3 linked regions of the Macaca mulatta genome follow. The protein of the gene in region 2 interacts with the protein of the main gene of each other region in a pairwise test. Links are inferred from orthologs where the notes say so. Each region holds a gene or a part of one and is shown on either strand. Other genes may lie near its edges. The genes, in order: CNST, PPP1CC and CSRNP2.

Region 1 (3,650 bases), on a different chromosome or scaffold from region 2:
CCTAGGTCAGATATTTGATTATTTCCACAGAGCACATTCTCAGAGCCGTGTGAGTCAGCCAGTGCCTGTGGTGATTTTCCATCACTGTCGGTAAGATCAGGCTGCTGCAGCTCATTTAATTCATTGTTCGCAAGTTGGTCTGTGGGCAACGCCTCAGAAGCATCCCGAAGTGGCAAACGGAGTTCTTTTCTCTGAGCCTGTGAATATTTACCCTCAGAAATCAATGCAGGAGGTATACGGTCACAGCCTGGTAAAATCAATGTCTCCGTCGCTGACTCGCTGGAAGGCAACACTTTAGGGTCTTCAGCAATGCCCTCTATTCTGGCCACATCCTGGCAGGCCTCCGTCTGAGCCAGCTGCAAGCCACTGTCATCCTCACAAGCATCCTCAGAAGAGTCTGGCCCAGACGGGCTCCCTGCTGTCTCGGAGGACTGGGTGTGGAGCGGTAACGTGGCTTCAGTGCGGCAGAGCAGCTCCTCCGTGTGGTCCTTTCCTGCAGTTACCGAAAGGCTTGGGGCATCCGCCTGCTGGTCCATCTGACCACAGCAGGGACTGCTCCCCACGGGCTCCTCTTTACGTTGGCTGTCTTTATCTGGCTCTGTGCCAAGACAAGTTTTACTCTCTAAAGATGAAGAAAAATAAATTGTTAAAAATTCAAAAACCACTTTGTATGGGAAGGAAAAGAAGGGACTTATGAATATGTGTAATACAACAATATTCTAACCCTTTCAAATGGAAATTCTATCTGTTGCATTATAGTGTCTTTAGGTATAGGAAATACCTAAAATATTTAGTAAATAATCCTTATACAGAACAGGGATTATTCAAAAGCATGTGAATATGACTAAATCATTTAGTCCTCATTATAATCAAAAAAGTCATTTTCAAAGGTTTAAAAGCTATTCTGAACTTTATTAGCCTTTTACATTAAAATGAAGTTAGAAAAATTATTTTCAGCACATTTAAGACATGGTGTATTGGGCCGGGTGCTGTGGTTCACGCCTGTAATCCCAGCACTTTGGGAGGCTGAGGTGGGCGGATCACCTGAGGTCGGGAGTTTGAAACCAGACTGACCAACATGGAGAAACCCCGTCTCTACTAAAAATACAAAATTAGCTGGGCGTGGCGGCATATGCCTGTAATCCCAGCTACTCAGGAGGCTGAGGCAGGAAAATTGCTTGAACCCGGGAGGCGGAGGTTGCGGTGAGCCGAGATCGCGCCATTGCACTCCAGCCTGGGCAACAAGAGCAAAACTGTCTTAAAAAACAACCAAACAAAGAAAAGTAGTATTGGTCTGGTTTACTAAGATAAAAGGAACAAAACTCAGTTCTGTTAAAATTTACAATTTGACCATAATACCACTAATAAATGTGTTTGCAAATTACTTGCAACTTTTGTTTGTTTGTTTGTTTGAGACAGAGTCTCACTCTCCCAGGCTGGAGTGCAGTGATGCGATCTCGGCTCACTGCAAGCTCCGCCTCCCGGGTTCACGCCATTCTCCTGCCTCAGCCTCCCCAGTAGCTGGGACCACAGGTGCCCGCCACTACGCCTGGCTAATTTTTGGTATTTTTAGTAGAGATGGGGTTTCACCGTGTTGGCCAGGATGGTTTCAACCTCCTGACCTCCTGATCCACCCGCCTCGGCCTCCCAAAGTGCTGGGATTACAGGCCTGAGCCACCGCGCCCGGCCTACTTGCAACTTCTTAAAGGGAGGTAGCAAAGGGTAGCAATAAAAAGGATACGTTTTTGCAACAAGTAGAAATGGGTTTGAATTTTGACATCTCTTTCAATTTCTACTTTAAGTAAAACCAACTTATTTTTCTTTCACTTTAAAATGAAACAGTTAAAAGCCTCCGTGTGAATAATGAAGGAGCAGTGCACGGATGGCTAGAAAACAGAGAAGCTTGCTCATTCTCGCTTTATTGGTACACTTAGCATTCGTAACTATTTTAGAAGTTTTATCCTTTTTATACTAATATGCTGTTTAACTTAAATAAATGAGCCAAATGTGAAAATAAAAGAGAAAACATGATGATAATTTTATTCCATTTGTTTTTTTATTTACTGATACTTTTTCTTTTTTTTTTTTCTTTCCTTTTCACCCTGGACTCCAAAAACATATTGATACTTTACTACTAATTACCAACTGACAATTGAGGCCCACACCATGTCAAGCAAAAGGCATTCCTGAAACGTCGGCTTCAGATTTCAGAGCATCTGGTGCTGAGGCTGCCACCTCAACTCCGGGTTGCTGAGAGGCAGCTATTCAGTAGAGTTCATAGCACCTCCCCTGACACCCTGACTCAAATTATCAGATGCGGATCAGCAGAAGGAAGAAGTGGTCACCTTTGGGAGAACACAGCCTTCCTTCTCTCTCCCCACCCCAAAGAATCACTCTAAGTTTGTGAGGCTGCAAGAAAACCCAGGCACATTTCACTTTCCTTTGGTTGTCTGCTTTGCCACTGGGCTTGCTGGTCTGCCCCTCCCTCTGTTAAATGGGGGAAGGTTAGAGCAGTGAGGGCCACAGCCAAGGGGAAAGGGGGCCAAGCCGCTCCTCCACGATTCCAGGTACCCAAAGGTTCAGAAGATGTCCCTCGAAACATGTCCACAGGATTCAGAGACTAAATGAGACTGGGAACCACAGTCCCACAGGCACTGTGAAAGCACAGGGCAGAGAGAACCCCCACATCAGAGGAATGGGGTGCGTTGCTTCCAGCTGAGGGTCAGTTACCTAAAGGCTGCAAATATCTAGGGGAGCAGCTTGGGGGTAACCTCCTCCGTAGCTGCTCCTGCTGGAGCCACCACACGACCTGGGTTCAGTCATAAACACCAATCCAGTGAACTCCAACCAGGAGCAGACTGTGTTCCCAGCCCTGGCAACTGGAGGGCGGAGAAGAGCTTTGAGTACAATGAGATTTAAGTGTGAAAATCAAGTTCAGGATTGAATAGGGCTAAGCTCTAAATAATCAAAATGAGACTATTTAATAGCTTATTAGTAAGTGACTGAAAAGGTACAGAATCAGTCTGAGGTGCCATTTTATGAGTTGGAGGTGAGGTGGTGGACGGCCGCTATGTCACGAAGTACAACCGCTTAAAGTATCGTATCTAATGAACTGAGATATCACTTAAGTGATAAGCAATAAAGACAATCTATGGGTACAATGTATTATTTACAAAATAACCTGAAAATGGTTGCTTCATCCCATTATTTAGAAATACTACAGAAAATATGGGGAAAAAAACTCCACCATAATTTTGGAAAAGCCAAGATTTCCAAACTACATTCGGAGAGTCACCCACATTGTCAACATTTCTCTTTAAAACATTGTTTGGTGAAACTTGGGCAACATTTCTTTCCCGAGAATTCAGTCCATACTCCCTCACAGGGTTATTCCTGGGACATCTGGATTGTTGAAGCCTTTGATAAGCCATACAATGCACTTAGCAGAAGCAGGCTGCATTCAATTAGAAATGGGAAGACCCGGCCAGGCGTGGTGGCTCACGCCTGTAATCCCAGCACTTTGGGAGGCTGAGGTGGGTGGATCATGAGGTCAGGAGATCGAGACCATCCTGGCTAGCACGGTGAAACCCCATCTCTACTAAAAATACAAAAAATTAGCCGGGCGTGGTGGCGGCGCCTGTAGTCCCAGC
Region 2 (3,650 bases):
ACTGGGCCAAGGCTCGCTAAAAGTGCAGCAGTTCTGCTGACACAGTACCTAGAGACTGAGCTATCAGGGATCTGATATTGATCAGTCATCCTGAAAGGAATACCATGTTACTTGGCAAGAAGGCATGCCTGGACATAATAACCCTTTCCACAGAATAAATTCTTAATTAGTTGAATTTTGTGTGAGGTTCTGGACATACACATATACTTAAAAATTTTATTAAGTTCAATTGAACTAAATATGATGCCAGTTTGGAAATTACTTAGTGTTGGCTGTCCAATTAAACTCTCATTACTAGAGGTCAATGCCATTGTACAATGAATTTTTAAAGAATTTCTTTCTAAAGCTTTGTTAGTGGATTGAGCTGTAAGTATGGGAACACTGTGTAACAAAATTCTTGCTTCTAGGTGACATCCATGGGCAATACTATGATTTGCTGCGACTTTTTGAGTACGGTGGTTTCCCGCCAGAAAGCAACTACCTGTTTCTTGGGGACTATGTGGACAGGGGAAAGCAGTCATTGGAGACGATCTGCCTCTTACTGGCCTACAAAATCAAATATCCTGAGAATTTTTTTCTTCTCAGAGGGAACCATGAATGTGCCAGCATCAACAGAATTTATGGATTTTATGATGAATGTAAGTACTTTTCTATATCTCAGGAAGTTATTGAAATTAAGATATTTATCATAAACAATTATCACGTACTTCTGTTAGGAATTGTGAGAGTTTAGATGCAGTGGTATCATCTCTCATGTTTTCTATTTCATCAACTTGTTTTTAACTTAGCTTTTTAGGGGAGGTGGGGGAACAGAGTCTCACTCTGTTAACAGCCCAGGCTGGAGTGCAGTAGCACCATCTTAACCTCATTGCAACCTCTGCCTCCCAGGCTCAAGCGATCCTCCTGCCTCAGCCTCCCAGGTAGCTAGGACTGCAGACATGCATCACCACGCTCAGCTAATTCATGTATTTTTTTGAAGAGATGGGGTTTCACCTTGTTGCCCAAGCTGATCTGAAACTCGTGGACTCAAGGAATCTGCCCACCTAGGCCACTCAAAAGTCCTGGGATTACTCGTGTGAGCCATGGCGCCCAGCCAGTTTTTTCTCTCTTGGGTAGAAAAAGAACACTGCCGCTATAATAAAATAAGGTCTTGGATTCTTTTATGATGTGATGATCAGATTAGGAAATAATGATCATGGTAGTGGTTTCTTTAAGATGTAAATTGTTGTATTCACAGATAACTTAATTCTTGGTAGAAATCTGAGAACCATTCTAAATAGTTTTAAGCAACTTTATTATGTAATTTCATTCCATAAAATTAATCTGTTGAAAGTATACAATTCAGTGATTTGTAGTAAATTTATAGTTAACGCGACCATCTCACCGTAGCCCCCAGGCAACCACTAATCTACTTTTTGTCTGCTAGAGAACATTGCATGCAAATAGAATCTTGGCAATGTGTAAATAATTAGTTTTTGAAATTATTATGGTTTTTCTCCTCTGGCATAACCGCACCCAGGAAGAATGGCAATAACTTTCCTAAAACTAAAATGTGCTGAACAAAGATTATTTTTACAGTATTTTACGCATTTTATGACTCATTTTGGATTGTTTATTTAAAGGTGCACTTTGATTTGACTATTGACAAAACACAGTCAAATAGGCTGGGCGCAGTGGCTCACGCCTGTAATCCCAACACTTTGGGAGGCCACGGCAGGTGGATCATGAGGTCAAGAGATCGAGACCATCCTGGCCAACATGACGAAACCCTGTCTCTACTAAAAATACAAAAATTAGCCAGGCGTGGTGTCAGATGCCTGTAGTCCCAGCTACTTGGGAGACTGAGGCAGGAGAATCGCTTGAACCCGGGAGTCGGGTTCAGTGAGTCGAGATCACACCACTGTACTCCAGCCTGGGTGGCAGAGTGAGACTCCGTATCAAAAAAAAAAACTTTGAAAATAATCAGTTTGATAAAGGGTTTTACGTCAGAAAAGGTTTTGAATCTTTACCTTCACCTTCCTTTTGTGCTTATTTCTGCCAGGAGGGGTTTCAGGTTTGGAGTGAAGGGGTGGTTAAGGAACTTCAGGTAGTTGGCATTTGCTAATATGATTATAGGGAGATCAGCAAAGTGTTGTCCCTGTGGCCCTCCCCTAGACCACATCCTAACTTAGAGTCTCCAGATGTGTGTTTTTCCATCTCAATTCACATAGATGCAGTGAGCTAGCACATTTGTTAGAAGTGCATCCTAGAAAGATTATATTCACAGACTGAGCCCTTCTACTACCACCCTTTCCCACTACTGGATGTTTGCTTGGTCTGTGTCCTTGAGATCCAGCTGGTAAGATGAGGTGGCAGGAATGATCAGGGACAAAAATTCTGTGGGTTCTGGACTGACTGATACCATTGAACCTGTACAGGAAAGATATTCGATATTAACAGGGATTCTGTGTCATAGAAGTACCAGTAAGCCAGTTACTACTCCTTAGGTAGTGAAATACAAGGCAGATGTGGTGGGTTTTTTTTGTTGTTGTTTTTTGTTTTTGAGACAGAGCCTTAAGCTGGAGTGCAGAGGTAGGATCATAGCTTACTACAACCTGTAATTTCTGGGCTCAAGCAATCCTTTCACCTCAGCCTCCCTAAGTGCTGGCATTACAGGCATGGGCCACCACACCCAGGCAACATTGTGTTTTGGATACTTATTCCAAGTGTTACTCTTGAGTTAAGAAAGGGTTCCTTTTACATAACTGTTAGCCCAGTAAATACTTTTCATGTTTGCACTGATGAATTCAAATCCATTTGACCTCATTGTTGTGACTTCTATCCTAACGTAATGATACTAGCTGCATCAGTTTCAGTTTCTACTCAATGCAGAGGCCTTTAAAATGACTTAGAAGATCAGTGTCGGTTGGTATCAGTTTCGACTCCTGTTTGATCATCAACACAGTTTATAGATCAAGCATCCTCTCTCCCATCAGGCAGATACAATTTGCCATCCAGTCTACTTGTGGGCATAAAAGTGCCCTTGACATAGGTGGCTTCTGGTTGAAGGCTTGCAGACATTTAGTATATATATTATATATATTAATTTTATTAAAATGAAAAGTTGTATTCAAATGTTGATTTTCATGGGACAATTTTAAAACCACTGCCTGTTTTCCAGGTACATAAGTACTTTATACTACCATTTCTTTTTTGTTTGTTTGTTTAAATTTTGCAAATGTGATGAAAAGGCTGAGGTATATGTTGTTGGGTAAAACAGGAGTGTTTGTTGATCCATTTCTGCTATCGGAGCTGTCTGATGTACAGTAATGGGAAACTGCATTACAGGTTATGGCTCAGAATCTTAGGATTTGGAAGCTAGACGATTTCCCTGGTTAAACCTTTTAGGACCCAGATGTTCCTAGTGGTTTGAGGTGGCCTTAGGGAGGATATGAAGAGAGAAGAGAAAGAGACAGCCCCACGCTTCAAGTGCTGAGAGGCAAAAGGAGGAAGCAAACTGATTTTTCATGGAGAGGCCAGCAGAAATCGGCAAGAGAAGAAACTGGAGTTTGTGGCATAACTAAAGAATCAAAGGCCGGGCATGGTAGCTCATGCCTGTAATCCCAGTACTTTGGGAGGCCAAGGTGGGTGGATCACTTGAGGTCAGGAGT
Region 3 (3,750 bases), about 60 Mb from region 2:
GGAGTTTCGCTCTTGTTGCCCAGGCTGGAGGGCAATGGCGCAGTCTCGGCTCAATGCAACCTCCGCCTCCCGGGTTCAAGCTATTCTCCTGGCTCGGCCTCTCGAGTAGCTGGGATTAAAGGCACTTGCCACCACCCTCGGCTAATTTTTGTATTTTTAGTAGAGACGGGGTTTCACCATGTTGGTCAGGCTGGTCTCGAACTCCTGACCTCATGACCCGCCTGCCTTGGCCTCCCAAAGTGCTGGGATTACAGGCATGGGCCACCGCGTCCGGTGCCCTTTCTTAAAAATAGGTTGCGGAAGGGCAGGGTGGCTCATGCGTATCATCCCAGCACTTAGGGAAGCCGAGGCGGGCGGATCGCTTGGGCCCAGGAGTGCAAGACCAGCCTGGGCAACATGGCGAAAACCCCTTGTCTATTTAAATAAATAAGTTAGTTTGCAAACTTGAGATCATGGCAATTTTTTGTTTGTTTGTTTTTGAGAGGGAGTCTTTGCTCTTTGGCCCAGTTTGGAGTGCAGTGGCGCGATGTCGGATTCACGCCAGTCTCCTGCCTCAGCCTCCCGAGTAGCTGGGACTACAGGCGCCCGCCACCACGTCCGGCTAATTTTTGTATTTTTTAGTAGAGACGGGGTTTCACCGTGTTGGCCAGGATGGTTTTGATCTTCTGACCTCGTGATCCGCCTGCCTCTGCCTCCCAAAGTGCTGGGATTACAGGCGCGAGGCACCGCGCCCTGCAGCAATTTTTTTTTTTTTTTTTTTTTTTTAAGAAAACACTCAAAGCAGTTTCTCATGTAAGTAGATAACTCAAGATATTGCTTGATTCTTTATAACTTGGGCAGGCTGCAATAAGTCATATTGCTGAAGACTAAGACCCCATGAGCGAGGAGAAGGCGGGATCATGTTCCTAATGGCGTGTGGTACTGGCGAAAGGAAAAGGGAGCTTTGGAGGAGAATTCGTTTTTTAAGATCAGTAACTGAGAGTCTCCTCTCTTCCCCGATTAAAAGGTTGCAGCAGAGCTGCCGCCTCCGGAGCCAGTTTGCCCGCCGGCTTCGGCTTTGCAGCAGTCACCGCCTACAACTCCCGGCATGCTGCTGGGTGTGGAGCCGGCACGTAGACTCCATTTCCCAGCCAGCCCCGGGTCTCGGTCAGGACGTGCCGGCGCCTATAAGAGCCAGTGCTCTGCGGCCGGAGCCTATTGTTAGCCGGAGCCGGGGCGGTTCTGGGCGTCTGCTGCCGGGGGCGCCCGAGTTGCCGGAGCCGCCCGGCCCTCTCTGCCTGCCGGCTGGGCTGCCCACCGCCCTCCCTCCCCGCCCTGCCGCCCTGGAAGCTCCCCGGCCGTCGCCGCGGGGCCCGGGACTCGCTCGCTCCTCCCTCCTTCCCACCCGGGCTAGGGCGGCGGCGGCAGCGGGGGCGGCAGAGACCATCACGGGAGGAGGCAGCTGCGGCGGGGCCGGTAATGGGCCTAGGGGTGCGGGGCGGAGGGTGCCGCCTCGTCCTTTCTCGGGATCGGCCCTCGGGCGGCCGTGGAGGAGTGGTCAAGCCCAGAGCCGTGCGGATGGAGGGGTCAGAAACGAGAGGCTCGGACGGGAGCGGTCGGGGGGCGGGGAGGTCGGGTGCCGTTGGGAAGGAACCGAGTCGGGAAGAGGCGTGGGAGCGAGGGGCACGGAGGACGCGGGCCCGGACTGCGGGGGCAGCTCGCGGGAGACCGATGGGCGGCTTGGAAGCCTGCAGGATTGCGGATGAGGATTGAGTTCGGAATGGAGTGGAGAATGATGTGGGATGGAGGAAAGTGAAGGAAGGGGAGGGGGAACAGAGGAAAATGTGGGAGGAGTGGTTGGGAATTTGTGAGTAGCAGGCAGGAAGGGATGAGGAAGGCTGGGTAGGGGCTGCAGAGGATTGGAATGAGCGGGAAGGTTAGGAGGAATCAGAGGGAAGTCGACCGAGGGCTGAAGGGTTCGGAAGGAGTGTTCATTAAAGGGAACTGGTGACTTGACATATCCCTTCGCTCCTGTTCCTGATGTCTCCCGTGTTTTTGGCGTCGTGTGGGAAAATGAAAGCATCAGTGGCCCTGGTTGCTAGCTTGATCTTTTTTCATAGGCCCAAACACGCAGCCAACTGCCACCCTTCCCTTTTAGGGCTGTGGTCTTGATTCATCCTTTTAAAGGGGTTGAGAGTGACAGTGTGACACACAAACTGTTCTTCAAAATGAAATGCTAGAAGTTATCCCCACAAGACAACACTGTCCCCTTGTCCTGCAGTTTTCAGTTCAAGGTAAATCCATAGTTCAGATGTTTTCTTCACTGGCTTTCTGTCTTGCAAATCCGCAAAGCCAGGATGTTGGTTGTGCCGGTGTTATAAATGACTGGATATCCTTGAGAGTTAATGCAGCATCATGTTCCAATTCCCACAAAGATCTGTCTTCCACACGATGGTAGTTTAGGCATGGAAAATTCTAACCTTGTATTAGCGAATGGGTACAAATCAGGGAGTGGGGGTGGTGAGTGCACGGCTTTCTTTAAACACCAGGCTTAAGCCAGGGGTTTTCATTTGAGCGCTTTATAAGTTCATGATCCTGGTGATCACAAAGACACATGGATCCATGAAATCCATAGTATTTGAGAAACTACAGTATCTTGTAAAAGGAGAAACAGGGCAGGTTATTTTATTCAGGTTTATCATAACACAGCAGCAAGCCTTCCTTCTTCCAACCCAGCTACAGATGGTAGCCCTGACCATCTTACTGGAGATTGTGATTCCTTGACCTTTCGCAGAAGGTTGGGTTCCAGTCAAGTGAAGACGCTTTCTCCTGTGAGATGCAGCTTATTACTTTGGACTCATTTAAGAAGACACATATTACCTAAACTTTGCAAATAGATTATTCCAGAAAATTTTGCCTGGGCAGTCCTTCTTGCTGGTCTCTCATATGCTTTTTTTTTTTTTTTTTTTTTTAAATTTTATTTGTTTGTTTTGGTGGTTATAGGAATCCTTATAGTCCTGAAAAAAACTTAGATCTAGTACTAAAATACATATATGCTGGTAGACCTCTTTATTAGGTGCTAGCCTGATGTCTTCTATGCTCTGGATCTTAACTATTTCGTATACCATTGGGAAATCTTCAGCTAGAAACCCTTGAGAAGGCCGGGCGCGGTGGCTCAAGCCTGTAATCCCAGCACTTTGGGAGGCCGAGACGGGCGGATCACGAGGTCAGGAGATCGAGACCATCCTGGTTAATACGGTGAAACCCCGTCTCTACTAAAAAAAAAGTACAAAAAACTAGCCGGGCAAGGTGGCGGGCACCTGTAGTCCCAGCTACTTGGGAGGCTGAGGCAGAAGAATGGCGTGAACCCGGGAGGTGGAGCTTGCAGTGAGCTGAGATCTAGCCACTGCACTCCAGCCTGGGCGACAGAGCGAGACTCCGTCTCAAAAAAAAAAAAAAAAAAAAAAAAAAGAAACCCTTGAGAAAAGACCATTAGACATGTAGCCAGAAAGTGTCAACTGACCTTTCATTTCACTGGCATTTAAAAGCTTTAAAGAGGGTTGCGTTATTTTCTCCAAAAGCATTTGTTGAGTTGGTCATTTTGACAGTTAACTGTCAGTTTTTACCTGCATTCCCAGGTGCTAAAACTTAACAAATGTATCTCTTGAACACAGGCATTGATCCTCTACCAATGAATAATTGAGAGAGGTAGGAATGACTGATTTTTCTGGTTGTAGCTTGAAAGATTAATTTGATGAATTGGAAAGTATG

What was found.
Region 1: the proteins of PPP1CC (region 2) and CNST interact in a two-hybrid assay, tested with the Homo sapiens proteins (2 studies listed by BioGRID and IntAct). The link is inferred for Macaca mulatta from reciprocal best matches to the Homo sapiens genes PPP1CC and CNST.
Region 3: the proteins of PPP1CC (region 2) and CSRNP2 interact in binary tests that used the Homo sapiens proteins (3 or more experiments, as listed by UniProt). The link is inferred for Macaca mulatta from reciprocal best matches to the Homo sapiens genes PPP1CC and CSRNP2.

Annotation. Positions count from the first base shown.
Region 1 is NC_133406.1:2,415,620-2,419,269, forward strand, and holds part of CNST (consortin), read right to left. Parts: intron 623-3,650; coding exon 1-622. UniProt on the Homo sapiens protein: Required for targeting of connexins to the plasma membrane.
Region 2 is NC_133416.1:117,908,524-117,912,173, reverse strand, and holds part of PPP1CC (serine/threonine-protein phosphatase PP1-gamma catalytic subunit), read left to right. Parts: intron 1-407; coding exon 408-638; intron 639-3,650. UniProt on the Homo sapiens protein: Protein phosphatase that associates with over 200 regulatory proteins to form highly specific holoenzymes which dephosphorylate hundreds of biological targets.
Region 3 is NC_133416.1:58,276,883-58,280,632, reverse strand, and holds the start of CSRNP2 (cysteine/serine-rich nuclear protein 2), read left to right. Parts: upstream 1-1,196; 5' UTR 1,197-1,455; exon of another isoform or gene 1,456-1,565; intron 1,566-2,137; exon of another isoform or gene 2,138-2,273; intron 2,274-3,750. UniProt on the Homo sapiens protein: Binds to the consensus sequence 5'-AGAGTG-3' and has transcriptional activator activity. May play a role in apoptosis.